4 linked regions of the Notamacropus eugenii genome follow. The protein of the gene in region 4 interacts with the protein of the main gene of each other region in a biochemical or structural test. Links are inferred from orthologs where the notes say so. Each region holds a gene or a part of one and is shown on either strand. Other genes may lie near its edges. The genes, in order: TARBP2, EIF2A, PRKRA and EIF2AK2.

Region 1 (7,815 bases), on a different chromosome or scaffold from region 4:
CTCCCACACCATAGAAGACTTGTCTGCTCCCCTCGAAATAGCTATTTTGAAGAACTCTAGACTTTAGATTTGAGAATATGGAACATGTTCTGACCAAAGAGAGGAGAGAAAGTCACAGGTACCATCTGTCCCAGGTCAAGCCAACTATCTCTAGTCCCAAAGAGTAGGGCACAGAAACAGCCCATCTCTTTGAGGACACATGGCAGTCTTCCTGCCCCCAACTCCACTTGCTGGTATCAGCTCCACCACTCCTCCCCTCAGGCATCCCCCAGCATTGCTGGACTTCACTATGTGACAAGGATAGACAGGCGGCTTGGTTTCAGTCTTAGCCTGTTGGGGCTCAGAAAAGACCTGCCCAAGGCAGAAGGTGAACCACTCCCAACTCCCTTCACTCCTTGAAGCCTTGCTTGCTGCTGAGGTGAGGTGGGGTGTGAATCAGGCCCAGCAACAGGGGTATCAGCAGAGAGCGGGCATTCTAAGAAGACAACTTCCCAAGGACTGGGGAACATGTTTCTCCCCATCCTGTACTGTCTTCTCACCCATCAGAAGGAAGCCCAAAAGAAGACAGAGCCAATGGCCTCTCAGCGGAATGGGGAAGTTTTTCTACTCAAAGAGCCAAAAGACGTATTTAGAATTTTGGAGGTATTTAGGATTTAGCATTTTTAGAAGTGTCTAGACTGGCAGGAGAAGAGGAAATATGGACAGGGCAGAGGTCCCTGTGGGAATCAATCTCCTCAAACAATTACCCTCCCTAAGGACCTCTTCTCTGGGCAGTGGTGGACAAAGAACTAGGCCTGGAGTCAGGAAGACTCATCTTCCTGAACTCAGATCCTGTCTCAGACACTGGCTAGCTGTGTGACCCTGGCCAAGTCACTCAACCCTGTTTGCCTCCATTTCCTCCTCTGTAAAACGAGCTGGAGAAGGAAATGGCAAACCACTCCCGTATGTCTGCCAAGAAAACCCCCAATGGGGTCATAAAGAGTTGGACATGACTAAAACAAGGGCCCCTCAATAGGGGCTCGGCTCAGCCAATGTGAATGACCACTGTACTAAGACTCCTTCACAGTCTAATGTAAACAATAGGAAAAAGGAGTTTTGCTTGGAGGTTATCCCCTATTAGACTAAGACCTCAAGTTTCAACCCTAAATCAGGGTCCGTAAGGACTGATCCTTCGAGGGGCCACTAAACAGCTCTTTATGCCCTGGGAGTGGACTCAGCTGTTGGTAGATGGTGGGAGAGATCAAACTGCCTATTACTAACTCAGGTAGTAAGTGGTGCTCAGATGGGTAGGGCAGTTTTCTCAAGGGCTCAAAAATTACTTGGACACACCTCACCTTCCATCCTCCAGAAACGGCTCCAACATGTTTCCTCCCTTCAAGTGTTTGAGGGCCACCTCAGCTGCTTTGTGTTTGGCAGCTTTCTTGCTGGGGCCCTGACCTGGGAGAGGGGTGGCAGGTTACACAAGAGCCAGAAGAACCCTCATCCCCATCTCCTGCTACCCCCACCACCCACCACCATGCAGGACTAGAATCAGGCCATTCCAGACAGACACTTCCCTAGCAGTGTCTGTTAATCTCTTCTAGTATCTCACAATCTACTCTCAGTCCTTTAAAAATACTTCATCGATGTTTTTAAGAAACCTATCCTTTTCCAGTGCCCTCCCACCAAAAGAACTCTTTCTCATTATTCTGGAGAAGCATACTTAAGTAAAATCAGGTGATCCCTGTGTCTGACAGCATTCTGCCCCTCTGGGGCTGCAGATGACACCCCGACCAAGAGGAGGCTCCTAAGTTCCTCCCGCCTCCCCCATACCTAAGCATGCTCTTGGTTCCAGCTGACTTTCAGAAGCACTTGAGGCTCAGACACCCCGCCCCCAGCCCCTGGGAGGAAAGTAAAGGCCCCTCCCCCCAGGCGAAGCCCGGTGGAGGTCCTGAGAACACGCACCCCTGGCCAGGGCACCCGACGCCCCCTCACCAGTGCAGCTGGTGTCACCGACGGTGACTCGGAAGGTGAAATTGGGCTGGTGGGCTTGGCCCTCGGCTTTGAGGAGGTCGTACACGGGAGTCTTGCCTATTCTGGTGCCATACTCCTGCAGAAGGCTGATTGGGGTCTTGCCGGGACTGGCCGCCAGCATTTGCTCTATACTAGGGGGAGGTACACAGGCCTGCATCGTGGTCCCTCTCGGACCCCCCACTGACGGGCACTGCCGGCTGGCACCCGGGGTGCGGGATGGCTAGGGGCCCAGGGGTATCGGGGCGGAGGCGAGGAGCAGCTCCACCAGCTGTCCAGAGGCGGGGAGGGGAGCCAGAGGGCGCGGGGAGGGGCATGCTGACGACCACCCCCTGGGCGCCCTTAGGGAGTGAGGAACAGAGGGCTCATGGCCAATGCCCCCGAGTCTAGCATCCTTGGCTCCTCCGGCCAAGTGCATGATGGGAAACTCAGGGCCTACAGCCCTGGGGCATGCGGGGAACAAAGGGGGCCGCTGTCTCGGGGCATTCTGGGAAATCAAGTAAACGCTGAAAGCTGGGTAGCCTCCACCCAAGTGCATGGTGGGTCCTTAGCAGCCACCACCGTGGTGCATGGTGGGAACAGAAAAGCCCGTGCCGTGGTGGCTGCTGGGAATAACCCCCCCCACCGCAGTGCCGTCCCGTCCCGTCCCGTCCCGTGGCTGGGCTAACCACCCCTCCTCACCCCCAACCCCCAGCCCCAGCCTTCCAAGACCCGGTGCATGCTGGGTCTACGCGCTCCGCCTCCCTCCCGCACTGCGGCCTCCGCCCTGCAGGGGTCAGTGTGAGTCGGCCAACTCACCTGGGGAGTCCGTAGGCTGTGATGATCCCGGAACCCTGCTCCTCCTCACTCATTCCCTCCTCCGTCCCTGCGGGCGCCACCGTGACTGCAGGCTCCGCGCGCCCCGAGCCGCCGCCGCCGCCGCCGCCAACGAGCATGGGCTGGGGCCGGGGCCGGAGCCGGGGCCGGGGGAAAGAGGTGGGCGGGGGGGGGGGGGGGGGGGGGGGGCGTCGCGGAGCATGCCGGAACTTGTAGTCCTCGATCCTCCCCATTCCATTGGCCTCCATGAGAAGCGAGGCTACCCGCCCCACAATTCTCCGGGGGAGTTAGCCCACCCAGGTCGCAGTGGCTTCTGGGAAGAGTCGTCCTCCCCCCCCCAAACTCGCTCACTGTTTTGCCCTCCTCGGTGTGCGAGGATGATGCTGTGAGCATGCGTGCTGGAGGATGATGGGCGGAGCCTGGAAAACTACAAGATCCAGAAGTCTCGTGGCCGCTGAGCGAGTTCCCCTTGAAGGGGTGGTGCCCAGCACGCGCCACGGGTACAGCCACGTCGATTGGCTCCTCCTGCCAACTCCCTCCGAGCCAGCTGCCTGCGATTGGCCCGCTCGGAGCCGAAGGGAAAAGCGAGAGGACCAGAGACTTGGGGAGCGGGGTTGGGGCACCACGGAACATTGGGCGCTATGGACTCTTTCCCAGGAGAACCTGTGATTGGCTGAGGGACCCGCCCCCTGAGGGGAGCCTGGAGAAGCCGGCAGAACCCTGCAGTGTGCCGGGGAGTGAGGGCTTCCTGCTGGAGACGGGAGGGGAGCGGGGGCAGTGAGCGCTCCTGGAAATCCATCGCGTCCCCCAGTTTACAGAATCCGCACCCCATTCTTGCTTCGGTGTTCTGAGCCCCAGTCCTTGTTTTCTTCCCCGCTCCCCCCCCCCCCCGGGTGCATCATTCACCTGACCCTGCCTGGGTAAACTCCTGTGCACCAAGTAACCCCATCCCCTCCCAGAGGACCCCCAAATTCCTCGTGTTTCCTTTGTCCCCAGAAGCCTGAAAGAGAGGTGCCAACAGGGCAAGGGAGAAGTCCTGCCCTCTAGCCATTCCCTCTCACCCATCCCGGGGAACCAGTATGCTGGGGGGTACAGGATTGCGATGGGAGGGGAAAGCGTTTGGGCCAAAAGACCAATTAGAGAAAGATGGAAGGAAACTCACTCGGGGACTGTCCATGGTAGTGGAGTTAGAGCTGTGGATGGAAAGTGGAGTGGGGTGGTGAGGGTGAAGAGCTATGGAGACCCCTCCTCTTCCTAACCAACCCCAGCCAACCATCTTTGTACGGGTTTAAGCCTCTCGGGCCGACCGGCGAAAGAAGGGGCCCGAGGGTCCAAACGAGGTCTGGAGGAAGTCCGCCCAGAGGCCCAGGCCGCGGCTCCCATTGAATCCAAAAGCTTCCTTTGTTGAGCTCTAGGATGAGGGGGGTCTTGGAGGAAAAGAAGGGACAGAGGGGAAGCAAGGAAGACCGTTTTTATTTTCATCTGTGTGGGGGGAAAGAAGTTGAAAAAATGTGCCCCGAGGGGTCCTGAGCGGGATCCCGTCAGGCTGGGATGTAGGCAGAGGAAAAGGCCTGGCTGGACCCAGGTGATGGGGGAACATGAGAGAGCTGGGGCGAGTTTGAGGGGAGGGGGGGAAGAAAGGGGTGCTCTGTGACTAATGTTGAGTCTTGGAGGGAGGACGGCGGACATGGGAGACCCCGAGGACTGGAGAGGCAACTTGAGGGGCGCGGGGGGCGGCCCTGGGGAGAGGCAGAGCGGGAACCAATACCCGAGTTGCGGGGGGAGCTGGGGGAGGGGGCGGGGAGGGGTCTCGGTTCCAGGAGCGGGGGGATGAGCTAGAAGCTGGGCCGGGGAGGGAGCAGCGGGCTCCTTTAAGAAGCCGGCGGCTCCCGGCGCATCTCCCCCGCTCAGGGCGTGTCCGTCCCGGAGGGCCAGGGGCGGGGGCCGGGCCGGCGGGGGGGGGTGGGGGTCGGGGGAAGGAGCCGCGGCCCTGGACGCGGCGGGCCGGAGCATCGCCCGTGACACCGCCCCGGCTCCGGTCAGGGGCAGCGGGCGGGGGCGGAGGGAGGAGGAGGAGGAGGGAGGGGTGGAGGCGAGGAGCCGAGAGCAGCATCCGGAGCAGAGCCGCAGCAGCGCCGCCTTTTGTGCTGAGGCCGCGGCCGAGCCCCCCAGGTGAGAGCCGGGCCCGGGGGGGCGCCGCGGAGTGGGGGGGTCCTGCGGCCCGGAGGGGCGGGGCGCGGCGGGATGGGGGGCTCCGCGAGCTTGTGGGGATGGGAGCCCCAGGGCGGTGGGGGCGGGAGGGTGGAGATCGGAGGAGGAGGCTGGGGCAGAGCCGGGGGAGACGATTCGGGCGGGAGGCCGGGGGAGGGGGGGGGGGGGGGGTAGGACCGGCAGAGGAGCCGAGTGTGGATGGAGGAGGATGGAGGGAGACGGGAAGGGCAGGGCAAGGCCTGGCGCACCTGGCAGGGCAGAGCCGGAGCCTGCAGCACCGAAGGCACCTGCTCCTGGGTGCCCAGACCTTAGGCCCCCTGGCGCCTGGCTCCCCGCGGGATAGCCCTCCTCCATCCAGCTGTTGCATCCCCCCCCAATGTGACATCCATTCTCCGCCTCATCCCTCCCCTGGCCTCGGCCTTGGGTTCGATGAAGACAGGAGCACAGAGGAGGGGGAAGGCTCCCAAACGGAGGAAGTAGGGCATGAGGGGCCGGGAAGGAGCTGGCCCTAAGAAGGGAGGGGGTGCCTCACCCCGGGAGCAGAGATTCACCAACTCCTTGGGATGAGAGCAGCCGAATCTCTAGGTGGGACGCTGGGATTCTCCCTGACCCTGCAAGCCTATCTTTCTAGGTGGGAAGAAAGATCCAGCTGAGTTCTCTCCAGCAACCCAGTTTTCTGTCAGGCTAGGAATAATAGCTGGCATTTCTATAGCACTTCAAGCTTTACAAAGTGCTGTACATGTATCTTATTGGCTCCTCACAACAGCCCTGGGAGCTCCATACTGTTATTATCCCCCATTTTACAGATAAGGAAACTGAGGCTGAGAGAAGATAAGTGACTTGCTCAGGGCCCCAGAGCTACCAGATGTCTGAGGCAAGATTCAAACTGGGGTCCTCCTGACTCTACCTCGATGCCACAGTGAAGGATTTCTCCCAGATCCTACCAGTATCCCTGTAGATAGAGCCACCTGCCCTGATTCCAGGTTTGACAACCCTTATTTTGAATTAAACTCTGTCCTTTCTCAGCCTCTGAACACATGGGGTTTTAGCCAGATTGGTGACACAGCTGGATTAGTGAGGTACGAAAAAAGGCCAAATCTAGCTTCCTCTGCCCAACTGCTTTCAGTGTTTCCTGTAAAGAGCCCTACCTAGGGGCCCAATGGATAGAGCCCTGGGCCTAGAGTCAGGATAACTTAAGTTCAACTCCAGCCTCACATAGTTATCAGCTGTGTGACCGCAGGCAAGTCATTTAACTTCTGCTGCTGCTGAAGTTTCTTCAACTCTAAAATAAGAAGGAATAAGCATTTATATATATAGCACCTACTGTGTACCCAGAGCTTTACAAATATTCTCTTATTTGATCTTCACAACAGCTCTGGGAGGTAGGTGCTACTATTACTGCACCTCCCCCCCCCCCATTTTGTAGTTGAAAAAACTGAGGCAAATAGAGGTGAAGTAACTTGCCAAGAGTCACACAGTTAGTGAGTGTCTGAGGTCCAATTCAGGCCCACTGTTCCATCCACTGCACCGTATAGCTGTGTATGGTAGGGATAATAATAGCACTTATCTCCCATGATTATGAGGATCAAATGAGAGAATCTTTGTAAAGTGTTAAGCATAGTATCTAACTATGCTGGATGCTACTGTTACACACAGCAAATGCTTACTTCCTTCCAAGCCTGTTTTTCATTTAGGGGATGAGAACAGTGTTTGTTGTCCCTCAGCCCATCCTGGAAACTGGGGTTACCAGAGGCAGACTTCCACTCCCACAGCTACTCCCCTCCCACAACTACCCAATGCGTCCCCCCAACTAACACACCGCCACACAGCCAGACAACCAGCATGTCTGAGCTGGAGTGGAGTGACCGGCAGGAAAGAAAGCATAGGAAGTTATATAAGTGCTTGGAGATCCTTAAGGTAGCAGCTCATTCTTTGGTGATTTGTAATTAAAGGAAGAAAGACAGAAGATGGTATAACAGAAAGAATGATGTACCTAAGAGCCTGGACATCCTGGTCTGTTGCTAACTAGCCATATTTAATCTCTCCATGCCTCAGTTTCCTTATTTGTAAAATGATGAGATTGGACTAGATAGTTTCTTTCCTTAATAAGACTTTTCCTTCTGTTCCACAAACCTTGGATTTCTGGTTCTTAGTAGCCCTGGCTGTCCTCAAAACCCATTCTATTCTTTCCTTTTTCAGTCCAGGGAGACAAGAAATCTGACCCCTGAAAGAATCTTGGGGGAGGCAGGTGGCCAGCAAGGACCTTGGCTCCTCCCCACTCTATCTACTGTCCAGCCTCTGCTACCCCTGTAATTCCAGGGGTATCCCTAAAGACCCAACCTCCATCTGTTTCATGAGCCCTTTAGGGAGATGAGGGGGGAGGGGAGATGCTCTTATAACGATTCAAGTAGAGTTGAATCCAGAAGAAAGAACCATCAGATTCCTTTGGGGATCTCCATTCTTCTCTTGTCTCCCCTCCCTACCCTTACTCTGTGCCATCTCCTGTGTCTTCCTTCCTTTCTGCCTTTTTCTTTCTCTGAGGATTTCAAAGAACTGAGGCTGCTGGGTATGGGAAGCATCACTTCATCTATAGTTGTTGTGCTACATTGAACTTTTAGTAAGACTCCCAGCCATGATCCCAAGGAAATAGGATTTTTCTTGGTGCTAAGTGGAAGGGAAATAGAGGTACCAAGTATGAATGGCAAGACCAGATCCCAAAACTGAGACCAATGAGTCCTGAATCCTACCTTCTGTCCCTTAGACACAGTCATGACAACC
Region 2 (7,327 bases), on a different chromosome or scaffold from region 4:
CCAAGACTTGGAAAGGAAAAACTTTGGGAAGTCAACTTTGTTCCCTCAAATAACAGATATTAAGCACCTCACTCAATTACATGAGACATATGAATGATAGTACATCTTGATAAGACTGCCATCCTTACATCCACTGACCTAGTCTAACCTGCACAACAACACTGTCGCCTTTTTGTTCCTACTAACCTACTTTAGGTTCCCATTACGTATCAACTTAAACTAATGAAACTAGCTCCTAATAAGTCCCCCAGTCTCTGATTCCAAGCCAAACCCAACAATATGGTTCTGTATATTACCCTATCCCCAAAACTCCACTGGCTCCCCATCAACTGTAGAATAACTTCCATTTCCTCCCGCTCCAGGATACTTCAACCTTATAGTCCACTATTCTTTCAAGTCCGCTAAATTAGATGACGTATTCCTTGGTTTTCCTGCTCTTGCTGTTTTCTTTACTTCTTTACTTGCTTTCCTTCTCCATCTATCAAAATCTTGCCAAGTATCTTTCAATTTAAAGGTCAAACGTAAACACCTACCTCTTGATAATACCTCACATTGGCTCTGTTGAGCATTTATCAAGTGCACATATGTGAACTGAGATAGGGAATGGATCAGTGATCTCACTTGTATAGAGGGAAAAAACTATCATTTCTGGGTGAGAAACTAACTAAAGTGAAAATATGTAGATATGTATGTGGATATGCTCCCCTCTGATGAAGACAACATTCACTGGGAATAAATCTTATTCTCTCCTTTATAGAGTAAGAGAGTAAGGCAAGTGACCTGCAGAGCTGGAACAAGAATGGGGTCATCCAATTGTCAGGCCAGTGCCCGTCTTAGTAGGTCTTGTGCATGAAGCTGTCCCTCAGCCTTCCCACCAGCCAGTGCTTCCATAGCACTCTGCACACACATACACCATTTCACACAATCTCTTGTATTTTTCCTAACAGACCTGTTACTGCATAAATGTTCTCATCTTTTATCTCTCTTATTGCTGACATTTATATAGCTGCTTGAAGGTTTGCAAAACATGTGACAAACTTTATTTTGTTTGTTCCTTACAACAACCCTCTGAACATATATTACTGTCATTTTACAGAAGAGAAACTGAGGCACCGAGAGGTTATGACTTCCCTATGGTCACACTAGTGATAAGTGTTTGAAGCAGGATTCAAAATTAGGTGACATGACTCCAAATCCTCTATATCATTCAGAGAACACCTCTGTCAGGGAGAAAAGGTGGAACTATGCTCCCTTTCAGATGGCTGTTGTCTGCTGACTTTTGCTTCTTCATAAATCAATTATCCTGAGCCTGTTCCAAGGGCCTACACTTATTTCCTTCTAAATTTTATTTCTTTGCCTTCTGCAGGCCTCCCCTCTCCAGGTGCTCAGTTAACTACTCACTATCCCTATGCCAAGGAGTGCCCACCCCAGAGTAAAGCTGACAGAGCCTCTCTCAATTTTTTAAAAACCATTTATAAAGAATTCATTTTTAAAAACAAACACCTACTGCCTACTGGGCAACTGGCATAGAAGCAGTGACAGAGCAGATCTTGAGAGCTAGCTTTGAAGCCAGGCTGACCCTAATTGAAGTCCCCCATTGTACCATTCCGTGTGAACCCTGGGCAAGTTCCTCAGCCTCTCGGTGCTCTAGATCAAAGGGGCCCAACTGGAAAGCTGTGGGCACCCCCAACCAGAAGAAATCTAACTTGGAAATGTTTAACAAAATAAATATACAGCTTAACATAATGTAAATCTGTGGTTTTCTAAGTTAACATGTGGTCACAGGGATCTGATCTATTTGAGTTTGCTGCCAATACTCCAGACAACGCTCTACCATATGCTGTGGTGAAAGTGCTCAATTACACTGGCAGAGGAAGTAATGTAATCACGGATTCATCTCCTATCCCTATTTTTCCATGCCAGGCACTGTGGGCAAAACAAAGGGAAATCAGACCAAGTTCTAGTCTCCTGGGACTTGAAATTAAAAAAGGGCAACATCTTGAACACTCTGCTGCCACCCAAAATACTCAACAGAAAAAGAGTTCATGATCTTGAGTCAATATGGTGTAAGCAAAAAAGGAATAGATTGAAAGGCAAAGATTTCATGTTCTCAGCCCATCTCAGCTATCTGAGAGCTGCGTGACTCTGAGAAAATGTGGAAAGCAAAGAACGTGGGCCCTGGGGCTTTTGACCCTCTGTTCTTGTTCTAGGCCATAAACCCTGCCTCTACTCCCACAGGTTCAGTTCTTTCACCCTTTTTCTTTTTTGAACCCCATTAATATTAACTAATGTAGATGTCAATTAATCACTCTAGATTAACAACAACTGCACTTTGAAATCAGAAAACCACTTTACACTGTTTCATTTGATCTCACAACAAACCTTTGAGATCCTGGCTATTCTTACTCTTGTAATGACTAGAAGTGACTGGAATCCAAGTCCAGCACTCAATCAGTGATGCTCCGGGTAAACGACCGCAGGACCCAGGCTGTGTCTTTTCTATCACAACACGCAGAAGAACCAAAGTAGGCATTTAACTGTAACAAGGGCTGACGATTCATTAGCCCTTCTAGGTGGGTGAAGCACTTTACACACGTAATCTCACTGGACCCTAAAGAGATTTCCATTCTTTTCTAAACGAGAGGAAACTAAGAAAGGTGACTACCCTACCCAGGCTTACACGGAGAGTGGGTCTCAAGCAGGACTCGAGAAACCCACGTCTTCCGGACGCTCAATTCAGCACCCATCTGGTGAACGCGCGGTGGAGGGAGAGCTGGCCCAGCCTGGCAGACCTGGGCTCCCGCGGCACCTCCGACGCATCCTGGGCATGTGGCCCTGGACCAGTCACTTGCCCCGGCTCTCGGAGGTCCCAGGTCAGACACCAAACTGGGCCACCGCGGACCGGCCGACACCCTCAGGAAGGTTGCCCTATGATCGTCCCTATGGCCGGGCTTGGGGGTGCCGCCGTCGGCCGTCCTCCCTCCTCCACTGACCGCGGGGCCCACAGAGCTGACCAGTCACCGCGGGGGGAGGGGACGTGAACCTTCTGCTTCCTCAAAGCCTCAGCTAAAATTCCACTTTCTACACAGTCCTGTCTAGTCTTCGGGGTCTTCCCTTCCGTCGGGGACTCCCCCTCTCCCCCACCTCAGGGATAGTGTCTCCCGCTCGCGCACGTAAAGAGTTAATTAGACGCGGCAGTGAGCTGGGGGAGGGGCCTTTCCACGTGCCACCGGCTGTCACCCGGGGTCAAGGACCTCAGAGCAGCTACGTGTACCTGCGGCTGGCCCAGCCCCGCGGGGCGGGGAGGGCGGGGGGAGGGTCCCGGAGCCCCGGCCCCACTCCCCTCCTCTCCCCACCCTCCCTCCGCCCAGCTCCAGCCCTCTCGGAGCTTCCGCGGGTCTCACTTCCGAGTGCCACGCGACACGTGGCGGGGACGACCCCCGAGCCCCGGCGGCGCCGACCGCGCGGGCGGGCGACCCCAGCCCCAAAAAGCCCTCGACCGCTGCTGCGGCGAACGCGGGCCCACGGGCCCCCGAGTCTCCGCGGCCCCCAGGACCCACCTGCCAGCAGCGGGGTGGAGGGCGCCATCTTGTCCCGGAAAGAGATCTCCGTCCGTCCGGTGGGACGGGTCAGAGTTCACGGGGCCAGGGGCCGGCCCCTGAGGGACCTACACGTCCTCGCTGCCGCGGAGGCGACGACGTGGTTCTTCCGGCGCGGCGGGGCGGGCGGGGGGCGGGGCGGCCCCTGATAGGCCGGGGGAGGGGCGCGGGAGGCCCCGCCCCCGAGGGCTTGGCGGCCGCCTGCGCACTTCCGCGAGGCGGGGCCTCCCCAGTGCTGACGTTGGCAGCCGGACGCCGCGGAGCAGCCCGGAGCCGCCTCTACAAATTCGGCCAGTGCCTGCGGTCTTCCCCTTTCTCCTCGGCAGCTTCGGGTCCGGACGAGCCGCCCTCTTCCCTGCAGGCGCGGCCCCGCTGACAGCGCGCGCGCGGCCTGCCCTCCGTGCCCCGGCGCGGCGGCTCTCGCGGTGACAGCCGGAGCGGAGCGCCCCCCGCCCCCTCGGCGCGCACGCGCACAGTCTCGCCAGCGGCCGGCCGGAGCTCGCGCCCGGGGCCCCCAGTCCGGTGAGCGCGGCCCAGCGCGGCGGTAGCGGCGGCGGTAGCGGCGGCGGAGGCGGCCCCGGCGGGCCCCGGGCGCAGCGAGCCAAGATGGTCGCCAAGCAGCGGATCCGTATGGCCAACGAGAAGCACAGCAAGAACATCACCCAGCGCGGCAACGTCGCCAAGACGTCGGTGAGGCGGCCGGCCCGGGCGGGGGGCGGCGGGCGGCGGGCGGGGGGCGGGGCGGGCAGGGGCGCCACTAACGCCGCGCCTTCTCGCCTTGCAGAGGAACGCCCCCGAGGAGAAGGCGTCCGTGGGGCCCTGGTTGTTGGCGCTCTTCATTTTTGTGGTTTGTGGCTCGGGTAAGTGTCGCCCACTCGTGTCCGCGGCCGGGGCGGAGAGGGGCCCGGAGTCCGCCCCTTCCGTCACCTCCAGGCGCTCGGAGGCCCCCCCGCCCCCGGCGCCATGGCCAGTGGTGATGGGAGCCGAGCAGCCTCCGCGGGCGCTGGTGGGTCGGGGCTTTTGGGGGGCCCTGCCTCTGACCGCCCCCCCCCCCCCCCCCGATACGTCCCCGCTGCCCTGCGGCCCCGGGGCTCGGCGCAGGTACCCGCCGGCCTGGCCCTCCTTTGGCACCGGGCAGCAGCCGGCGACGAAGCTGGCGGTGCCAGACTACCACCCGTGTGGTTTGTAAGTGACTTTGGGTGGAAGTGGAGGATCTGGACCTGGGAAGGGCTTTGAGCCATTCCAGACCCGCTGTGGGTCCGTCCCGTCCCCAGCCCGAGGAAAGCCGAGTGACCTGGCCAGGGTGTCGCCCCCTGGTCCTGGGCGTTCTTTGCTCCCTGCCTGCCTTTCCTAGCGTTTAAGGAACCTAAGAAAATCTCACTTTAAAAAAACGTTCACCTAATAGGAGTATGTGATTTGTATTTCCTTTTTATTCTTCTGTGAGAAATGGAACTTGAGGTTTTAACGGTGCTTTGGGAGAAAGTAGATCGCCTCAAATGAACACAAGTTTTTAAGAATTGTCTTCAAGCGTTATTTTAATATTTGCCTCTTCTCCTTGCAGCAATTTTCCAGATTATTCAGAGTATCAGGATGGGCATGTGAAGTGACTGACCTTAAGATGTTTTCATTCTCCTGTGAATTATAACTTGAACTCATTCCTGATGTTTGATACCCTGGTTTAAAAACAGTTCAGTAAAGCATCCTGCCTCAGAATGACTCTTCATGTCATCCTTCATGTGTCATTCCCAGGTTCCTTCACAAGTCATTCCAAGTTTTCTAGTTCATACCACAGTGCCTTGAGAAGCACCACATGTATAAAGCAATAAAATTTGATTGTTGATCTACGATGGTGGACCCGACTTATTCAGTCAAGTATAAATTCTCCTTCTATGTGATTCTGAAAACTGTATGCAGTATAGATACGTAGACTAAATCTGTATAGACAAAAGATCTTTGATTTTTGTTTGCCCTTTAATGTATAAATGCAGTTAGTCTTAATTTAAAATTTGGAAGCTGATTTTTATATAGCAGCTAGGCACTTTATTGCTGTCTTTCATTGAAAGCACATTCATTAGGTAAATTTAGCAGTGCTGTATTATGGTGCTTATAAATGGAACACCTAGATGTAGTTAGCCTAGTTTCCTTCTTCCCCCACTCCCAGCCATTGGCACCTGAAAATGAAAAGGCTTTCACAATATTACTATAGAGGGAGATTCTTAGATCCAGAACGTTTATTTTAATGAGGTTATTACTTTTACACTACCTTGGATTTCACATGATTAAATAAACCTAAGAGGCCATAAAAAACAACCTGATGAAACATTCTGTCACCTCCTTGGTTACTGCAGTTTCTTTGAGGTGATAATGTGGTAGAACCTGTCAGTGATGGCTTATAAGTGTTGTGTAAATGTCACTTGAATTGTTCGTGTCAGATATTAAGGGTATTCACCACAGGTTAGTATTCGCAAGTTAGCCCATACTAGTTAAGCAGTGCACTATGGCATAACTTGGAAAACAGGTATTATGACAATTCCACTACTCATTTATCAGGTTGTGACATGCTGTTGAGTCCAGCTGTGCCTTAGATCTCATAGCATGTTGATAGGACTTTCAATACCAAAAAAGAAAAAAGGCACACCAACTAAATTAAGATCAACTTTAAATCTACTTTTTTTAGACTTAAGATTAGAATTCCCCTGTAAAGATGCACATATGTAAAGTTGTATTGACATGTTGTTGCAAAATACATTGGGCTTAATCTTAATTCACCTTGAAGTTAGGGGTGTGATACTTGATATTTGGTTGCTATCATTTAACCTTTCCTGTTACATTGAGGATGGGAAGAGCTAAATTTTGAGCTTGAGAAACTTGGAAAAAACCCAGCCACTAATGACTTCCTCTCATTGATTGTAGTTATAGGGAACCAGTGAACAAAGCTTGGTTTGCGTATTAATGAAAATGGCATATGTGGTAAATGGGGAAGTGGCTTTTACTGCTTCCTAACCCCTCACTGATGACATCTGGACAAGACTGTAACGAAGAAGAATAATTGACAGGATTCTCTTAACTAACTTCCAGGCTGTTAACCAGAGGCAGTTAAAGTAGCAAAGACACTGGTAGTGAAGGTGTAACAGAGGTAAGTAAACTACTCCTGTCTTTTTAAAAGAACAGGAAAGCTGCTAGTACTGGCATTTGGCCAAGGTAGATAGGATTCTATCTCCTTCATTAGTTGTATTTTTTGCCCCTTCAGTTAGCATAACCAAGTCCCTGTTTGTCATTTGAAGAAAAATGCCTTCGTTAACAGATTCTACTACTATAAAAATGCAAATTTTTGCTCTAAATTTGAAGCAGGTGCCTTAATTTTGTTTTGAGTCAAACCATTCCATTGCAAATTTTTTCTTGCTTTAGTACTGTTGTCTTCAAATAAGTATTTTCTGTTTACAGTGTCTTAGTGACTAAATTGACTGTTAAATTGGTGTACAAATTAGTCATTTCACATCTGTAAAAAAACTCCATTCCCTTTGTATTTACATATGTAATTTACCCACTTTATGCATTTTATATTAAGCAATTTATGCATGTTTGGTTAAATGAAAATCTGTGCTTTTTGATTGGTTTGCCCCCATTAAAAATAAAAATACCCTCAGTATTTGATGCATTTGTAAAGGAAAACAAAACCTCATTTAAATGTCTGATTATTAGATGATAAAATGCTTTGTATTATGCTG
Region 3 (7,560 bases), on a different chromosome or scaffold from region 4:
TTCTAACTTCTAAGATTTTATAATCAATAGTTTCTGAAATAAGGCATTTTAAGAAGACAGCTTCCATTTTTACCAATAAAATGAGGTGGGAGTAAAACAAGGGTGTGTTAAAGGGGAAGAGAGGAAGGAGTGATTCAGTCAGCAGAGAGATGAAATTATCTTTTATAGGTACTCTGTTGATTTCTGGTCCTTGGTCTAAATTGTACTGAGATGTATGGCAGTGATTGTTAAACATTAAAAAATAAAAAAAAAATAAAAAAAATAAAAAATAAATAAATTGTACTGAGAGAAAAACAGAACTATTGCTTTTTTTTCCCAACTGAGCTTATATATAGTTAGCTTGCTATCTTACATTTATATAGTTCCAAACTTATGATTTCATTAGTATAGGAAATTTCCAGTAAGAAAACTCCATCAAAATGGATCTGCAACTCTAATTAGAGGTGCCCAGAGCAGGGAGAAATCAAACAATTTGCCCAGTATCACAGCCAATATGTATCAGAGGCAAATCTTGAATCAAGGTCTTCCTAACTCTTCATCTACTATGCTATGATGACTCTTTATGGTATTATATAAACAATATCCCAGAAACAAAGACTACCCAAAATAGCCTTGCTATTTTTTTGGTTTGAACACAGAACACATTTAGCTCCTATGTTTATTTTGTGTTTGACAGAGCAAACTGTCTAAAGTTTACTCAACAAGACAGGTGGTACAAACATTTTGATTTTACACATTAGTAAACTGAGGCTCATAGTGGTTAAGCTCTAACTCCTCTAGTCACACAATCAATGTTTCATAAAGAAGGGAAAAACATGATTTTAAGCTTCTGATTACTTTCAATATAGATTCCCGACCAAAGTTCCTGATTTACTAGTTTATCTCTAAGTAGATTTACAAACTGGTGTCTTGGCCTTGTATGGGAGGCAGCAAGGTGCAGTGGAAAGTGTGTGGAATTTACAGTCAGAGTACTTGGATTCATATCTTAACTCTGCTACCTAATGTTTGACTTTGTGCTTGTCACATAACATCTCTGGGCCTCAGCTGCCTCAAGTATAAAATGAAGGGATTAGACTACACAAGCTTAAAAGTTGCTCTCCTCTCTAAGACTCTACTTTCTTTTTTTTGCCCCAATTCCCACCTGGGGGAACAGTGATTAATTCTCCTCTGCTCTCATCAGGGATCTACATTCTACCTCAGCTCCTATGCCCTTTCACCAGAGTTCATACATTTCAGGAATATGAAATGCAGCTTCACCTCAGTAAGAAAAAAAACAAAAAACTGTGACCTCTTTAATTTTTAGATGAATGGATCATAAAACTTGCCAATTGCATTTGGATTTATTTTTCTTACATGTATTTTTTCAAATAAAATGCAATGTGTTTTTCTGTGTGTTTCATGTTCAAGAAATTAACGACTGGAATGAATAGAGTATTCATACTTAACAAACAGGAAAATTCACATGTAAATTCTCTAAGTTCATTGCCTTTCTTTTCTTTGGATACAGAATGAGATGTTTCACTGGGCCAGCTCTAGCTTGGTAAATAAACAAGAATATGCACTGACCTAGGAAAGCTGAAGGACTTTCTAAAGTTCTGTGGGAGAGAAGAGAATTCATATCCACTTTCCCTTGAGTTTAACAAGTTGCAAAGTGGAATGGGAAATGGGAAATCAAGGTTCCAGTAGGGGCTGTGAGCTTGGACACATTATTAACAACTATCTCAGTCCCCAGGGCTACTTTAGGAGAACCTGCTCATCTTTAAAGACTCTCCAGTTCTGATTCTGAGGTAGCCTAATGGAACCATTAGAAATATCTTAGGGAGCAGGAGGCCTCCATGACTATGTCTTCAATTGGACTTCTGAAGGCACCTGGGGGAGAGGGGGAGGAAAAAGAGAGAGAGAAAATGAGACAAAAGGATAAAGTTTAAAATGTCTTTCTTCTGACCTAAGTTGACACTTTTCCAGTTCCAATATTCTCCTGGGGTATCTTCCCAACGAAGGCGCTACAGCCTGTCTTTAGGACAATGCTCTTAATAGTGTATACAGACCTGAGCAGGTTATATCGCCCACGGTCACTCTGAAGGTGAAACTTGGCGTACTGGCATGTCCATCGGCTCTTTCAAACTCATACACGGGCACGTTATTGGTCTTCATGCCGTACTCATGTAACACCTGAATGGGTGTTTTCCCAGGTTTGGCTGTGATCATTTTCCCCAACCTGCGTAAATGAGAAGGTCGTCTGCTAGAAATGCCAAAGGGGGGCTGCGTGCTTGGGAGAGGCCAACCAAGTAAAGATTTTCAGTTGTGCAGAGGGGGCCCTAAAGCTAATGGAAGGGAATTCACTTCTCATTCTTAAAACTAGAAAACGAGGTGGCTGCACCTCTTTGGAGTTCCGAAAAACGAGGCCGGCCCGGCGCGCGGGGGCACGCTCCGAGTTCCTGGGCTGGCAGGGGCATGGATCAGGAGGGGGGAGGTTAGCGAGGGTCAGAGGGAGAACGCTGGCTCCAGCAGCACCTGCTCAGGGAAGCAGGCGCTCCGAGGCTCCGCGGGCGTCCTCTGTCTCAAGCCAGTCGGGGCTCAGGTAACCCGAGCTGCCTGGGGCTTCTGGGAGGCGGCAGCAGCGGCTCTTCCAGCATGACCCGCCCACGTGGGGGGGGTGAGATGGGGGAGGGAGGGAGTAGAACGCTGGAGGGCGGGGCCTCTCCCGGCTCCAAGAGGTGGATGGGGGAGGGGGAAGAGGGAAAGAAAGGGAGGGGGCACCCTTACCCAGAAGGCAACTCGAAGGCTTTCTCGTCCTCTCGGGCCCCCTCCCCTCCTTCCCCGCGAGGCCCTACCTGGTGTCCCGCGGGCCGGGCAGCTCAGGCCGGGCTCCGCCCGCGGACTGACCTGAAGGTGCCGCTGTCCGGCGGGGCTGGCGGCGAGGTCGCGGTGTGCGGCCCGCCCTGGGGCATGCTCGGCCGGGAGGCGGCGGCGGGGGCTGCCGGCGGGGCTGGGGCCGCCGCGGGGGCGGCGGGGGGGGCTCGGGACCGGGGGTTCGCTCTCCTTCCCTTGGGCGGCCCGTCCCCAAGAGGGGCCTCTTTGGCCCCCGGGGCCGCCGTCGCTGTGGCCGTTGCCGTCGCCGTGGTGGTCGCTTCCCGTCCCCCTCTGCCGCCGCTGCTGCTGCTTCTGCTTCAGCTGCCTCCTGTCCCTCTTCTCCTCCTCCTCCCCCCTCCTCCTCCGCGTCCCTGTTGTGGTTCCGGGGGGCGGGGGAGAAGAGGAGGAGCCGATGGCGCAGCCCCCCTCGCTCCCCCCGCCGCGCCCGCACCTGCTGCCGCCGCGGCCCGGGCCCCCCGCCCAGCGCCTGCTCCTAGTAGCCGGGCCGCGGCCGCCCCAGACCTCGGCCCCCAAACGGACCTTCCGTCGGGAGTCTGCGGGCGCGGGCCCCACGCGTGCGGTCATTGACACAACGCCCCCCCGCCGCGGAGCCGCGGTCGGGGCCGCTGGCAGGGTCCTCATTCTCTATCCGGGCATTTCTGCCTCGGCCTGAGGAGAGGGCACGTCAGGGCCGCCATAGTGGGAGCGCTCCGCTGCCCTTCTCCCCGAGATCCTCCAGAGTGGGCCTCCCGCGGACACGCAGTGGGACTCCCTTCCTTCTCTCCTCGCTTAAACCCCACGGACGTTTTCCATCCCGAGATGTGACGGAAGCATGTCCGAATGACAAATGATCCCCCTCTCACTAAAAACATGACCTCCCCTCCCTTTCTGTATAACCAGCGTTTTCCCGAGTCCCACACGACGTCCTGAGCCCGGGGGGCCCAAATCCAGGGAGCCCTGGGCCTGGGGGCTTGCCGGGCCGCACGCCAGGACGTCGTGGCAGAGCCGGTGCCCGCAGCCGAGCTGGACTTTGGGGATGCCAGTGCGAAGGTTGCACCGGTCCCTCCTTGCAGCGCACTCCCCTTTCTAACGAGTCAACTGTCGCCCTCCCCTCCTCCTCCGCTTCCTCCGGGCTGGGCAGGAGGCATCCCTATCCCTGCTCGATCCAGGTTCGGTCCGGCTGCGCTCGCGAGCCTGGCTCCCGGGGCTCCCGACCAACCCGCGGCATTAAAGGGATTTCCTCTTTTTAAAAAAAAAAAATCCTTCTGGTCGTCGTCTTATTTTTATTACCTGAGGCTGAGCAGAGTGCGTGTAAGCCCTGAGTTATAAAAGGTTTTGGAAAACCTTTGGCACTCTTCCTGGGCCGCCCCAAAGGAGATAGCCATCGTTGTCAAACAATGCTCATCGATTGGCGTCTCTGGCCTCCCTCCACTTCTGGGCTGCGTCCCGACTGGGGACGATGCCCCTTCTGGTCCCAAAGGTTGGAGGGCTTGGAGGGCGATGCTCTCTCCTGAGCCTCACCTCTCCACCTCCGACCGTCCCTTCAAGGAAAACCTGCAGAGGCCCTTTAGAACCGGGCTTTTCATTCTATCTACTTAAGCAGAATCCAGAGAGTAAAAATCCAAGGTGAATTGATTAGACAAGAATATGAATCCTGGGACTGTGCTTAAGGCAATAAAAAGGATCCCGCTGTGCGCTAAAAATGTTCATTTAATATGCATCCCCTCCGTCCCCCACATTATTGGGGTTTTTTTGCGTAGAAGAGGGTAAGATGAGATACATAAGAAAATCAAAGTCTTTAAATTGCTCCCAGATGATTCCTTTTCTGTTGCTCAGAATGGCATAACTTACTGCCAAAACTGGCATCTTTAACTTGTAAGGGAATTTCCTTTGGCTCAGTTCCACTGAAGATTGTATGCAGGGCTAATGTTTGTCATTTTAATCTTCAGGTCTTGGCAATGTAGCCTTCAGAACTGATACTGTATCGGACCCATTACCCTGATCATACTTCCTTACCTCTGGCCCTAACAAGAGACATTATTGCCACTTAATATCAGTTTCTTCTGTTAGCTTTTTTAGTCATATAGAATGGCAGTGGTGGCGCTTCAGTCTTACCTTTAACATATCAGTTTACACTTGATGTATAATTCATTATGCTGAGTACATGAAGCTGAAAGGGATCAGTGAGTTCTGCACACTGGAAACTAGTTAGTGAAAACAGGTTATTTTACTTTTCTAATTAAGTGTATAACTGCATTTAAAAATTCATCCTTGATTTAATTTTGTTCATAGTAATTTTCTGTAATATACTAGCCTTTTGAATATGGATTTAATATCTGAAAGTTGCAGTTGATGAAGTATTTTATCATTAATATTATGTTAATATGTTTGCTGCTGCTACCAAGAGCTTTGTTAAGCAAGTTGGAGATGGAGGGAGATTAGTTCCGGTTCCAAGCCTCAGTGAAGCTGACAAATATCAACCTTTGAGCCTTGTGGTTAAAAAGAAAAGATGCTTTTTGTTACAGAGAGCTAAATTTACCTCAACACCTTTCACACTGAATGATATTCTCCTAGGAGACAGAGAAATTTCAGCTGGTAAGTTTTTCAATAGCTTTTTTGAAAAGCCTGTTTTTACAATAACTAACTAGTCTTTGTACTATATTAGTAACCTAAATACTGATAGTATGTAACAGGAGTAGCATGATTTTTGTTGATAATCAAATTTTTTTGTTGAAATAGGTATAATGATATTAGTAAAAGAAAGAATGTTTCAAATTTACATAGTGTCAAATCCAATAGGAGCTTGAAACATTTTCAAATCCATTAAAATGCATGGAACTTCTCAATCTGGCATCTCTTTTCCCACCACTCTCGAGTGCTTTGTTTTTACTTATACCTGTACTGTTTACATCTTTCCCTCCACTGAGGGAGTCCACTGAGTAGATAGTAAACTTCTTGTGGGCAGAGGCAATTTTCATTTTTATTAAGTTCCTTGCTTATCACAGTGCCTGGCTCATTGTAAGTGCTCAATAAATGTGTATTGAATTGAATTTTTAATAACTTGTTTTGCCAAATCAACTTGCATTTCATTTTATAATAATATTAGCTAAAGTTTATTTGGTGCTTCAGAGTTTACAAAAAACATTTTACATATTTTATTGACTTTGGTGCCAAGAGCTCTGTGAGGTAAGTGCTATTATTATTTTTATTTTATAGGTAAGGAAACTGAGACTAAAAAGGATAAAGTGACTTGTCATTCCTTACTAGCCACAGCTGGTAAGTGTCTGAGGCAGAATTCAAACTGGTCTCGATCCTAAATCCAGGGCTTTATCACTATGTCACCTAGCTACTTCACATACTAAAACAACTACAAAGTGGGAATGATACCTATCTCATTATCCGATTAAGTTTGTGGTATGCACTAAATCAGATGACGAAAGGGATTTCGTTATCATAAGGAACTCTTTTTCATTTATGATACTGTAAATAAATCCTAAGAAATTGCTTAAGGCACATAGAGGTTCAATGATTTACTTAGTGTCATACAAATACTATAATTATTATATTAAACATGCAGAGGCAGCTATGGTGGTTCACTGGATAGAGAGCTGGTACTGGAGTCAGAAAAAACAGAGTTCAAATATGACCTCAGATACTTACCTGCTATGTGACCCTGGCGGCAAGTCATTTAACCTCTGTTTGCTCTCCACTGAAAAAGAAAATGGAAAACCACTCCAGCATCTTCGCCAAGAAAACCCTATGTACATCATTGGCATGCTGTGGTCCATGGAAGTCCCAAAGTCAAACATAACTGAACAACAACCTAAAGATAGTAAGGATCTAGAGGCAGAATTTGAATACAGGTTATCCTAACCAGGGAGGTAGGTGGCACAGTGGATAGGATGCTGGGCCTGTAGTCTGGAGGACCTGAGTTCAAATCCAGCCTTAGATACTTACTAGATAAGGGACCCTGGGCAAGTCACTTAACCCTGTTTACCTCAGTTCCTCATTTGTAAAATGAGCTGGAGAAGGAAATGGTAACCCATTCCAGTATCTTTGCCAAGAAAACTCCAAATAGGGTCACAAAGAGTCAGATGTGACTGAAAATAACTGAAACATCCTAAATTCAAATAAGCACTAATATGCTGAGCCATATATTGCTTATGTAGAAGCAAAAGCACTTTGAAATGGATTCATTATCATATCTATTTCTACTACCACTACTTATTGTTGTGATACCATTGTTGTTTTTGTCATGTAAGTTAAGTTATTGATATATTTATATAATATATATATGTAGCCTATTTTAGTTTTTTAGATTTTTTTCTTGACCTAGTTGGAACATAGAAGAGTTTGAATTGGTATTTTAACAACAGATTGTTACTTATAATAAAACACTCTCACTGTCTCACTCCTTCAATCTCTTTTCATGGGATATTTTCCTGAGTACAAAGAAAAGAATATTTATTATTTAACATTTAATAAATAGAATTTATATTTTGAAATCTTGGTTTAAATTTTTGCTATTACTTTTATAATTTATAACCTTGGGGTTTTTTAATATACTTTTAAAACAATCATAGTAGTTAGGTAAGAGACATTTAAAACACATCAGTGTTCTTTTATTAAAGGTATCTCATCCTACCAATTACTGAATTATGAAGATAAATCAGATGTTTCCCTCTATGGAAGACGAGGAAATCATAT
Region 4 (7,809 bases):
ATGATGCTGCCAATGTTATAACCAATGCTATGATCTCTTTACCTAACCTGTGCTGTTCTTTGTTTTATGCTTATAAAAAAAAAAAGAAGCTGCATCTCTAATTCTTGGTCTTTAATTAGAAACTGAGGTAGGTAGCCATTGACCCTTTCATTAACAGGTACAGTGCCCTATTAATAAACTGTTATCTTACTTGAAGAAACATGTCTTGGTTTATCTTTTTGTTAAATTTCATTCACAAAACCAGGATCACAAAGCCAGGTCCTGAACTCAGGCTTTCCTTACTCTGAGGATAGCACCCTGATTACTACATCTCTCTGACTTTATATATTATTATTATTAATTATACATTTTTATTAATCATAATAATCCTCTCAAAAAACAATATGACACTAGAGCAGTTCCAACCATATAAGTCATTTTGGATTTCAGAAAACAACAATCCACTAATGCCTTGTAAAAGCAAAAAGATCAAACCTTCTTTGGAAGGGCTTTCCTTAAGAGGGGCATACCAGGATTCCTTCCTCTACACCAACTGCTACACTTAGCACAGCTTAGTCAGAAGCTCTTAGACTTCGGGCAAGACTCCTTCATTCTCTCAGTCTCAGTTAGTTCCTCAATTCCTGAAAATGATGTCACCTGAGCCCCGCCTACTTCATAGGATTATTGTGAGGAAGAAATTTTACAAGGTGTTGGTTAACTTAGCATTCATTCACCCGTACCTTGGACCTTACAGGCCAATAATAACATCTCATATTTACATCAGACGTTATAGCTGTAGAGCACCCCACACATAGCATCTCATTTGATTCTCCTGACATAGTATCTAATGACTAACAAGTACTAATTGACTGATTGACTTTGGGCAATCACTTAACCTCTCTATCTCAGTTTCTTCATCTGTAAAATCAGAGGATTTGTTGGCCTTTAAGGTCCCTTCCAGCTCTGGATCTATGCTCCTAGGATTAATTCAAGTTCTCATTTAGTAGATAGAGACATTTAGTAGTTCTCATTTAGTAGATAGTCATAGAGACAAAGTACCTTACCCAAACTGCACAGCTAATAAATAGCAGGGCAGGGACTGGAAGTCAAGTCTTCAGACTCCAAGTTTAATCATCTTTGCACTACATCTTCCTACTGGAAAGTGCATTTACCACAGTGTCCATAAATGACACTTACTGATGTGGTATGATAGGTAGAAAGGTATACAGAAGTCCTTCCAGTACAGAAGAGCCATCCTTTCTCAGTAAAATGGATCCTGCTGATCAGTGACTGAAATGAAAACATCTATCTCTGTGGGATTAAGAGGCTAAGAGAGAACTAGAGGGTCCAGGAGGGGTCCTTAACTGGGCAATTAGATTGCTTTTGTTTTGGGGAAGTTTTTTTTTTAATTCGACTCCATCTGAACATGAAATCTTGGAGTCTGGTAAAATATGTATTTTTAATAATAGCAATAGCTTGCATCCTACATGGCATTTTAAGGTTTGTAAAGCACTGTCACAAATATTTTCTCATTTTACCCTCACAGCAAGCCTGTAAGGTGGACACTATAATTAACTCTATTTTACAGATGAGAAAATTGAGGCAGATAAAGATTAAGTTACTTGCCCAGGGTCAACTAGCTAGTAACTATCTAGGGTCAGATTTAAACTCAGGTACTCCTGACTCTAGGCCCAGGACTTTATCCTCTGCACCTCTATCCACCTAGATGCCTCTCTGATACTTCTAAACAAATTAAAATAGTGATGTTGGTGCAGGATGGGGATGGAAATCAAATGCTTGCAAAAGTACTTACAGGTTCAGAAATCCTCCAACTGCCTTCTGTACGAATATAACTCAATCAATGTATCTTCCTGAACTTTCAGGAAACACATTTCAATATTAATCTACTCTGGGCTGCCAGAACCTTCCCCTCTAAAGTAACTTCCATCTTTTTTGGACAAATGTTGAATGTACTTATTAATTTATATGATGGTTTCTTGCCAGAATGTAAGCTCCTTGTGGGCAAGGACTATTTTTGCTCCCCTTGTATATACCAAGTACTTAGTGCAATGCCTGCCGCCCAGGAATCAATTAATAAGTGAGCATTAATTATTTGTCATTAACTGATAATCCAGGTTATGAATAACTCTAGCTTCCCTAGTCCTCTTCCTTCTGACAAGCCTGGTTTGAGCCCCCGTCCGTGTTCATTCATCTGTCTGTCCCCATGAAACACGAAAAAGCGAGGGTTTTGGACTGTCCTCTATTTTGATTCTCTCTGCTCCCTCTTCACCAGCCATCACCATCCACGACCCTTCCGGAGCTCTACAGCTCTTCTCTTTACTTTACCTCTAAGTTTCATTTCCGTTCTCAATCTCATTTCTTCCAGAAATGGCTGAGCATCTGTGGGTCACTGATTGGCGACTAGAGCTAAAGGGGACTTGACCTTGGCTGGTCCAAATCCCATTTTAAAGATGGGAAAACTGAAGCGCAGAGCAGCAAAGGGGCTTACCCGAAATCAGCGTCAGTCGCTGAGGGTCAGCACCGCGATGGATCCGGGGCTCCTGTCACTGCGTCATCCCCCGGCACGCCCGCACTTTGGCCCCGGGGCTGCTCGGGGAGCCCGGGGCCTCCTCTGGGGACCCGGGGCCTTCAAGGGCTGCCTCCCCGGAGGGTCCGAGGGCTTGTCCAAGCTCCTGGCTGCACAGTGGTCAGACTCACCCGCACCCCACACACATGCACACGCGCGCTACAGAGCCGCGGACCACTATCCCCCAAGGACAGTGCTCCCCTCGAGCCCAGAACCTCTCCCCGGACCCCGGGCCAACTCACCTCCAGCCCCGCTCCCGGCGCACAGCGGCTGCTCCTCGAAATCTCTCGATTTAGGGCTTTCTCAGTTTCGTTTTCCGCCCAGACTCCGCCCCACGTCGGACAGCCCGGCCCCCCGTTAGCTCTGCTGGGGAGAAGGGACCAGAGTTAGCGACCCTCGCCTCCTCAGCGCTCGGGGCCGCCCTGCCGAGTGTGGCCCGAGGGCAACAGGATGCCAATGTATTTAATGTAGGGATCCCACTGATTGCACAGAGGTGGAAAAGAGTTTGGCAAACGGGTCTTTGAAGAGCAATCTGGGTGTCCCTCCCCCACCCCCTAACGTCAGGGAGTTTCGGGTTTGCTTGTTTGCCCCTCTGCTTGGCACATGGTAGGGGCTTAAGGAGGGCAAGCCCACAATTAGACAAGAAGTTCTCTAACTCATTTGGGGAGAGTGGAGCCCGCTTAAAGCCTATCCATTCGTACTTTATTCAAAGCATTCGGCAGGAATTTGTAGGGTTAGTCCTTTACACTCAAACACCCAGCATTCGGAAACCCTGGAGAAGCAAAAGATACTGTTGGAATGAATTCACAGGTTTGCCCTAAGGCTAGCGAATTCCTATAATTTAACGGCATACCAAATAATTTTTAGTTGCTACCCCAGGCCTAAGGAAGTCCCCTCTTTTCCACTACCTCTCTCAGGTTATTGAGCCTTATTGATCCTAGCCTCCTCTTCAAACTGCTCTCTGGAGCTGCCTCTGTTGTAAACAAATTCTCCTTCCTGCTCAAGCTCTCCTCTACCATCTCTGGATACAAACAGAAAATAGCTTGGTTTGGTTTTTTTCCCCAGAAAGTAGCTCACCACTCTCCTCTAACTACTGGTCACATTGCTTTTCTCCTTTCCTCTTATTGACAGAGGGCCAATGAGTGCTTCCTCAGTTGTTATACATACACACGCACACATATGTATACACATATACATATGTACTGTTTCTGTACAGTATTACTATATACATAATATAATGTACTGTAGTGTATACATATACATATTTACACACACATACACACATACATAGATACACATATGTGCTCTTATATATATAGTAATACATATATACATAATACTGTGGTGTCTATATATATACACACATATATGCCATATATACCATAAGTCCAGAAGGAGGAGCTGGCAAAGCTCTTTCTTCCAACTGCTACTATTTGACCCTCTATCAGTTAACCAACTGTCCTTTGAAGTATATCCTAGAGCCACCATTTATTAAACTTCAAGACTGTCATCTGCATTCCTCAGTAACTTCAGCACCTGACATGTTATTTCTTCTCTAAACTTTTCCACTAAACTTGCAATGGTCTTTTATGACTTTACTCTTCTCAGTGATGGCCCTTCATTCTCAGGTCAATTCCTCAGCTTCCACTCCCATGTTCTCCATCTCTGCATCTTCTCAAGCCATCCAGAGACTGCTTGTATCTTAGATTTCATACGTAAATATAATTTCTCATGTTTCAATATGACTGCTCTACCTTCAAGAATCAAAACTCAGATAGTGAGTTGCCCTGGGAGTGAGTTTAAGTCCTGTCTATGAAACATACTGGTTGGTTTACCTTGGACAAGTTATTTAATCTCTCAAGGAACCAGCCAACTACAGTTTACAAAGTAACTGATATGCATTTCTAGTAAGATTTCCCTCAGAGCTCCTGTTTAGGTTTCTGTGGATACAAAGGCAAAGATGAAAAACAGCCTCTGCCTTCAAGGAGCTTATATTTCACTAGGCTATACAATATGTAAACAGAAACAGAAATACAAGATGGTTTAAGGAAGAAGATAGCACTAAAAACTAGAGGAAGAGAAAAAGGCTTTTGTAGGAAGTGAGCTTTGAAGGAAACTAAAGATTCTAAAAAACATAAATGAGGATGCACTGGGTGGGGGGATGGGCAGAAAGGAGGCATAATCAATAGAAAAGTATAGAATGAAGAGATGGAATATAGAGTAGTATAGTTTGGCAATAATATAAAATAGGTAGAGGGGAATAATGTGAAATGACTCTCAGAAGTCGGATCGTATCCAGATTACAATGGGCTTTAAATATGAAATTGAATATATATATTTTTCCATGTGTAGCACCCTCCTCTGAACTCATTTCCCCCACCCACATAGGTATGGACAGGCTAAGGCTGCTACTCTCAGAGTTCTAGAGGAAACTCTGTTGAGAGGAGGACTTCCTCATAAGCCCCCACCAGTGTTCTTGCCTTTAAAAATCAGCCAGTAGACTCAGTTCTTTGCAAAGTCATTCATTTATATGGTATATCAAAAATAGTGGTTACAAAGTATTTCCACCAAAATGTGGGGTGCATTCATTCACAAATACGCACAGAATTTTGGGGTGAAGAGTGGGTGTGATTCTAAAGTACAATGGTAGAGCCACACATCTGGGAACATATATGGTCAAAGCAACCCACAATTCCTAAACTGCAGTTCCTCTATGCCCTTTGTTTCTCTGGAGGACATTAATGATTGATGAGTTGCTCTGCTTCTCAATTGAACTGGCTCTTTGAAGAGCATAGTGCTCTTCTCAGCAAGAACAATAACTCAGCCTAGGATTGGCAGAACACTCTAGGAAAGAAATGGGGGAAGTTCATCCTACATTATTTGAAAATCTTTCGGGAGCCAGAGGTGGCTTCTCTAAGTGAGGGACTTTACCTTTAATTACAGTTCTCAGCCCAGTTATATTTCCCTTTGAGTCTTTTACAGATGAATGACTGATGACAAAAATATTAGAGTTCTGTGGTCAAGTTCATTGTCACACTGGCCTCTTCATATGCAATTGAGTCATTCAAGACTCAGATTCTTTCCAATTAGGAAATGGCTAAACAAGTTGTGGTATATGACTGTGATGGTATGCTGTTATAATACTGTTACTAATGTAATGCTATTGTAATAGGATACTATTGTAAGAAATCACTAGCAAGACGCTTTCAGAAAAACCTGGGAAGACTTACGTGAACTAATGCAAAGTGAAGTGAGCAGAACAGGGAGAATATTGTATACGGTAATAACAATATTATAACAATAGTCAACTGTGAAAGACAGCTTTTCTGATCAAGACAATGATTCAAGACAATTCCAAAGGATCCATGATGAAAAATGTTATCCACCTCTAGAGAGAGAGCTGTTGGACTCTGATTATAGATTAAGCATACATTTTTTCACTATTTCTATATTTCTTCCTGTTATTGTTGTTTACAATATGGCTGATATGAAAACATGTTTTGCATGACTTCACATGTATAATACATATATAACTTGCCTTCTCCATATGTGGAGGGGAAAGAGAAAATCTGGAACTCAAAAAAAATTTTAATAAATGTTGAAAATAAAATTTTAAACTGAAAAAAAAGAATCAAGAAGACTTAGGAACTGATTGGATATGAGGTGAGGGAAAATGATGAGTCAAGGATTATTCTGTAACTTGAGGTACTAGAAGGGCGGTGGTGACATCACTTCTCCCGAATGTGATTTTCCTGTTCTTCAACTTCATCTCTCTTACCTGTTTACCCATTCTATCACCCCTGTTTTGGCTTTATTTTCCAGCCTCCCTTCACAATATTGGCCCTGCGGTTAGCCATTATAATAATGTACTGTCCTGTACCCATTGATCCCCCAACCCTCATCCTTCCAATGTTCCCTCTCTAGGTACCTCCCTACCCCTGCCATCTGCTTTCTGTGAACCTGTGTTGCTAACTAGTACTGAAACAAAAGTCACAAAACTTTGCTGACTGCATTTTCTACAAATTAGTGCTACTTAATTTCAATTGAGTCCTCACTGATCAATGGCAGTCCTGTTTTTCATCTCGGTTTGACTTCCTACTCCCTTTGTCTCCTCCAGCAGCTATTTTAAACCTCTTCTCTCTTCATACCCCTAACTCCACTCCCTACTCCACCTCATTACCTCTCACTCAGCAGATTTTTGGGCCTTTCACTTGACTGAGAAGATTACAGTCATCTTTATCTCTTCTTCTTCACATCGTGAAACCCCTCTAAATCATCAGATTGGTCCCACTACAGATTTATGTTATCCCATCTCAACTGGGTGCTCACTACTGCAGAGAAGTCTTTCTGTCTCCCCCCCTTTCCCCGCTCCATTATTATCCCAGCAGTGATAATTCAAACTTTCTCTTCTCTCCTCAAGGCACCTACCCTACCACATTCCTCTTCCTTCTCAGTAGAGGACATTGACATTATACTTCACTGAAAACATTGAAACCATCCTTCCATCTCTTTCCTTTTTATCCAAATGTATACTTTGATCACTTCAATATTACCCCTTCCCCTCCTCTTTATTGCTATAGTCTTGTAGGACAAGGTATCCTTTCTTCTTTCCAGTGCCAACTACTTTATTTATGCCTATGATTCCATTGCCTTCCATCTTTTCCAGGAGTTTATCCTTTTGGTCATCCCATCAGTCTTCCTAATTTTCAACCACTCCTCATACACTGGCTCTTTCCCTGTTGTCTTCAAATAGACGCTGATATCCCCTTTCATTAAACAACATTCACTTGGCCCTATCTCACTTGCCTCAAGCAATCATCCCTGTCATAGTTGAAGTCCTAGAAAATTTTCTACACTCCTTACCTCCCAATTTCTTACTTCCAATTAGGCCCTTTAAATCTTCTTCTTCTCCCTACCACTCAACAGATATTTCTCTCTCCAAGGTTACAAATGATCATGTTATTGCTAAATTTCAGTGGCCTTTTCTCAGTCCTCATCATCCTTGATCTTTCTGCAACATTTGCTATTCCCCTCCCTTTCTGGATATTTTCATCTCTTGACTTCTGGGACACAATCTTCTACTTTTTCTCTTACTTTCCTTACCACTCCTTAGTCTCTGCTGAATCACACTTGTACCCCCATCTCCTATATATCTGTGTCTCTCAAGGTTTTGTCTCTAGCTCTTTTTTCTCTTTTGGTCATATCAATAATTCCCATGGCTTTAGTTATCACTGCTATGCCTA

Evidence for each region.
Region 1: the proteins of EIF2AK2 (region 4) and TARBP2 form a complex in vitro, tested with the Homo sapiens proteins (2 studies listed by BioGRID, with this or other methods). The link is inferred for Notamacropus eugenii from reciprocal best matches to the Homo sapiens genes EIF2AK2 and TARBP2.
Region 2: of the proteins of EIF2AK2 (region 4) and EIF2A, one has a biochemical effect on the other in vitro, tested with the Homo sapiens proteins (4 studies listed by BioGRID, with this or other methods). The link is inferred for Notamacropus eugenii from reciprocal best matches to the Homo sapiens genes EIF2AK2 and EIF2A.
Region 3: the proteins of EIF2AK2 (region 4) and PRKRA form a complex in vitro, tested with the Homo sapiens proteins (3 studies listed by BioGRID and IntAct, with this or other methods). The link is inferred for Notamacropus eugenii from reciprocal best matches to the Homo sapiens genes EIF2AK2 and PRKRA.

Annotation. Positions count from the first base shown.
Region 1 is NC_092874.1:226,512,922-226,520,736, reverse strand, and holds the start of TARBP2 (RISC-loading complex subunit TARBP2), read right to left. Parts: upstream 3,006-7,815; 5' UTR 2,946-3,005; coding exon 2,809-2,945; intron 2,145-2,808; coding exon 1,945-2,144; intron 1,438-1,944; coding exon 1,335-1,437; intron 1-1,334. UniProt on the Homo sapiens protein: Required for formation of the RNA induced silencing complex (RISC). Component of the RISC loading complex (RLC), also known as the micro-RNA (miRNA) loading complex (miRLC), which is composed of DICER1, AGO2 and TARBP2.
Region 2 is NC_092877.1:339,451,395-339,458,721, reverse strand, and holds the start of EIF2A (eukaryotic translation initiation factor 2A), read right to left. Parts: upstream 3,017-7,327; 5' UTR 2,748-3,016; coding exon 2,681-2,747; exon of another isoform or gene 2,671-2,680; intron 1-2,670. Other genes in the region: SERP1 (stress-associated endoplasmic reticulum protein 1), read left to right, coding at 4,206-4,289, 4,384-4,459, 5,161-5,201. UniProt on the Homo sapiens protein: Functions in the early steps of protein synthesis of a small number of specific mRNAs. Acts by directing the binding of methionyl-tRNAi to 40S ribosomal subunits.
Region 3 is NC_092876.1:241,651,497-241,659,056, forward strand, and holds the start of PRKRA (interferon-inducible double-stranded RNA-dependent protein kinase activator A), read right to left. Parts: upstream 3,001-7,560; 5' UTR 2,952-3,000; coding exon 2,887-2,951; intron 2,862-2,886; exon of another isoform or gene 2,767-2,861; intron 2,757-2,766; exon of another isoform or gene 2,493-2,756; intron 2,219-2,492; coding exon 2,049-2,218; intron 1-2,048. Other genes in the region: PJVK (pejvakin), read left to right, coding at 5,238-5,448, 6,070-6,129, 7,485-7,560. UniProt on the Homo sapiens protein: Activates EIF2AK2/PKR in the absence of double-stranded RNA (dsRNA), leading to phosphorylation of EIF2S1/EFI2-alpha and inhibition of translation and induction of apoptosis.
Region 4 is NC_092872.1:541,934,140-541,941,948, forward strand, and holds the start of EIF2AK2 (interferon-induced, double-stranded RNA-activated protein kinase), read right to left. Parts: upstream 3,005-7,809; 5' UTR 2,809-3,004; exon of another isoform or gene 2,489-2,808; intron 1-2,488.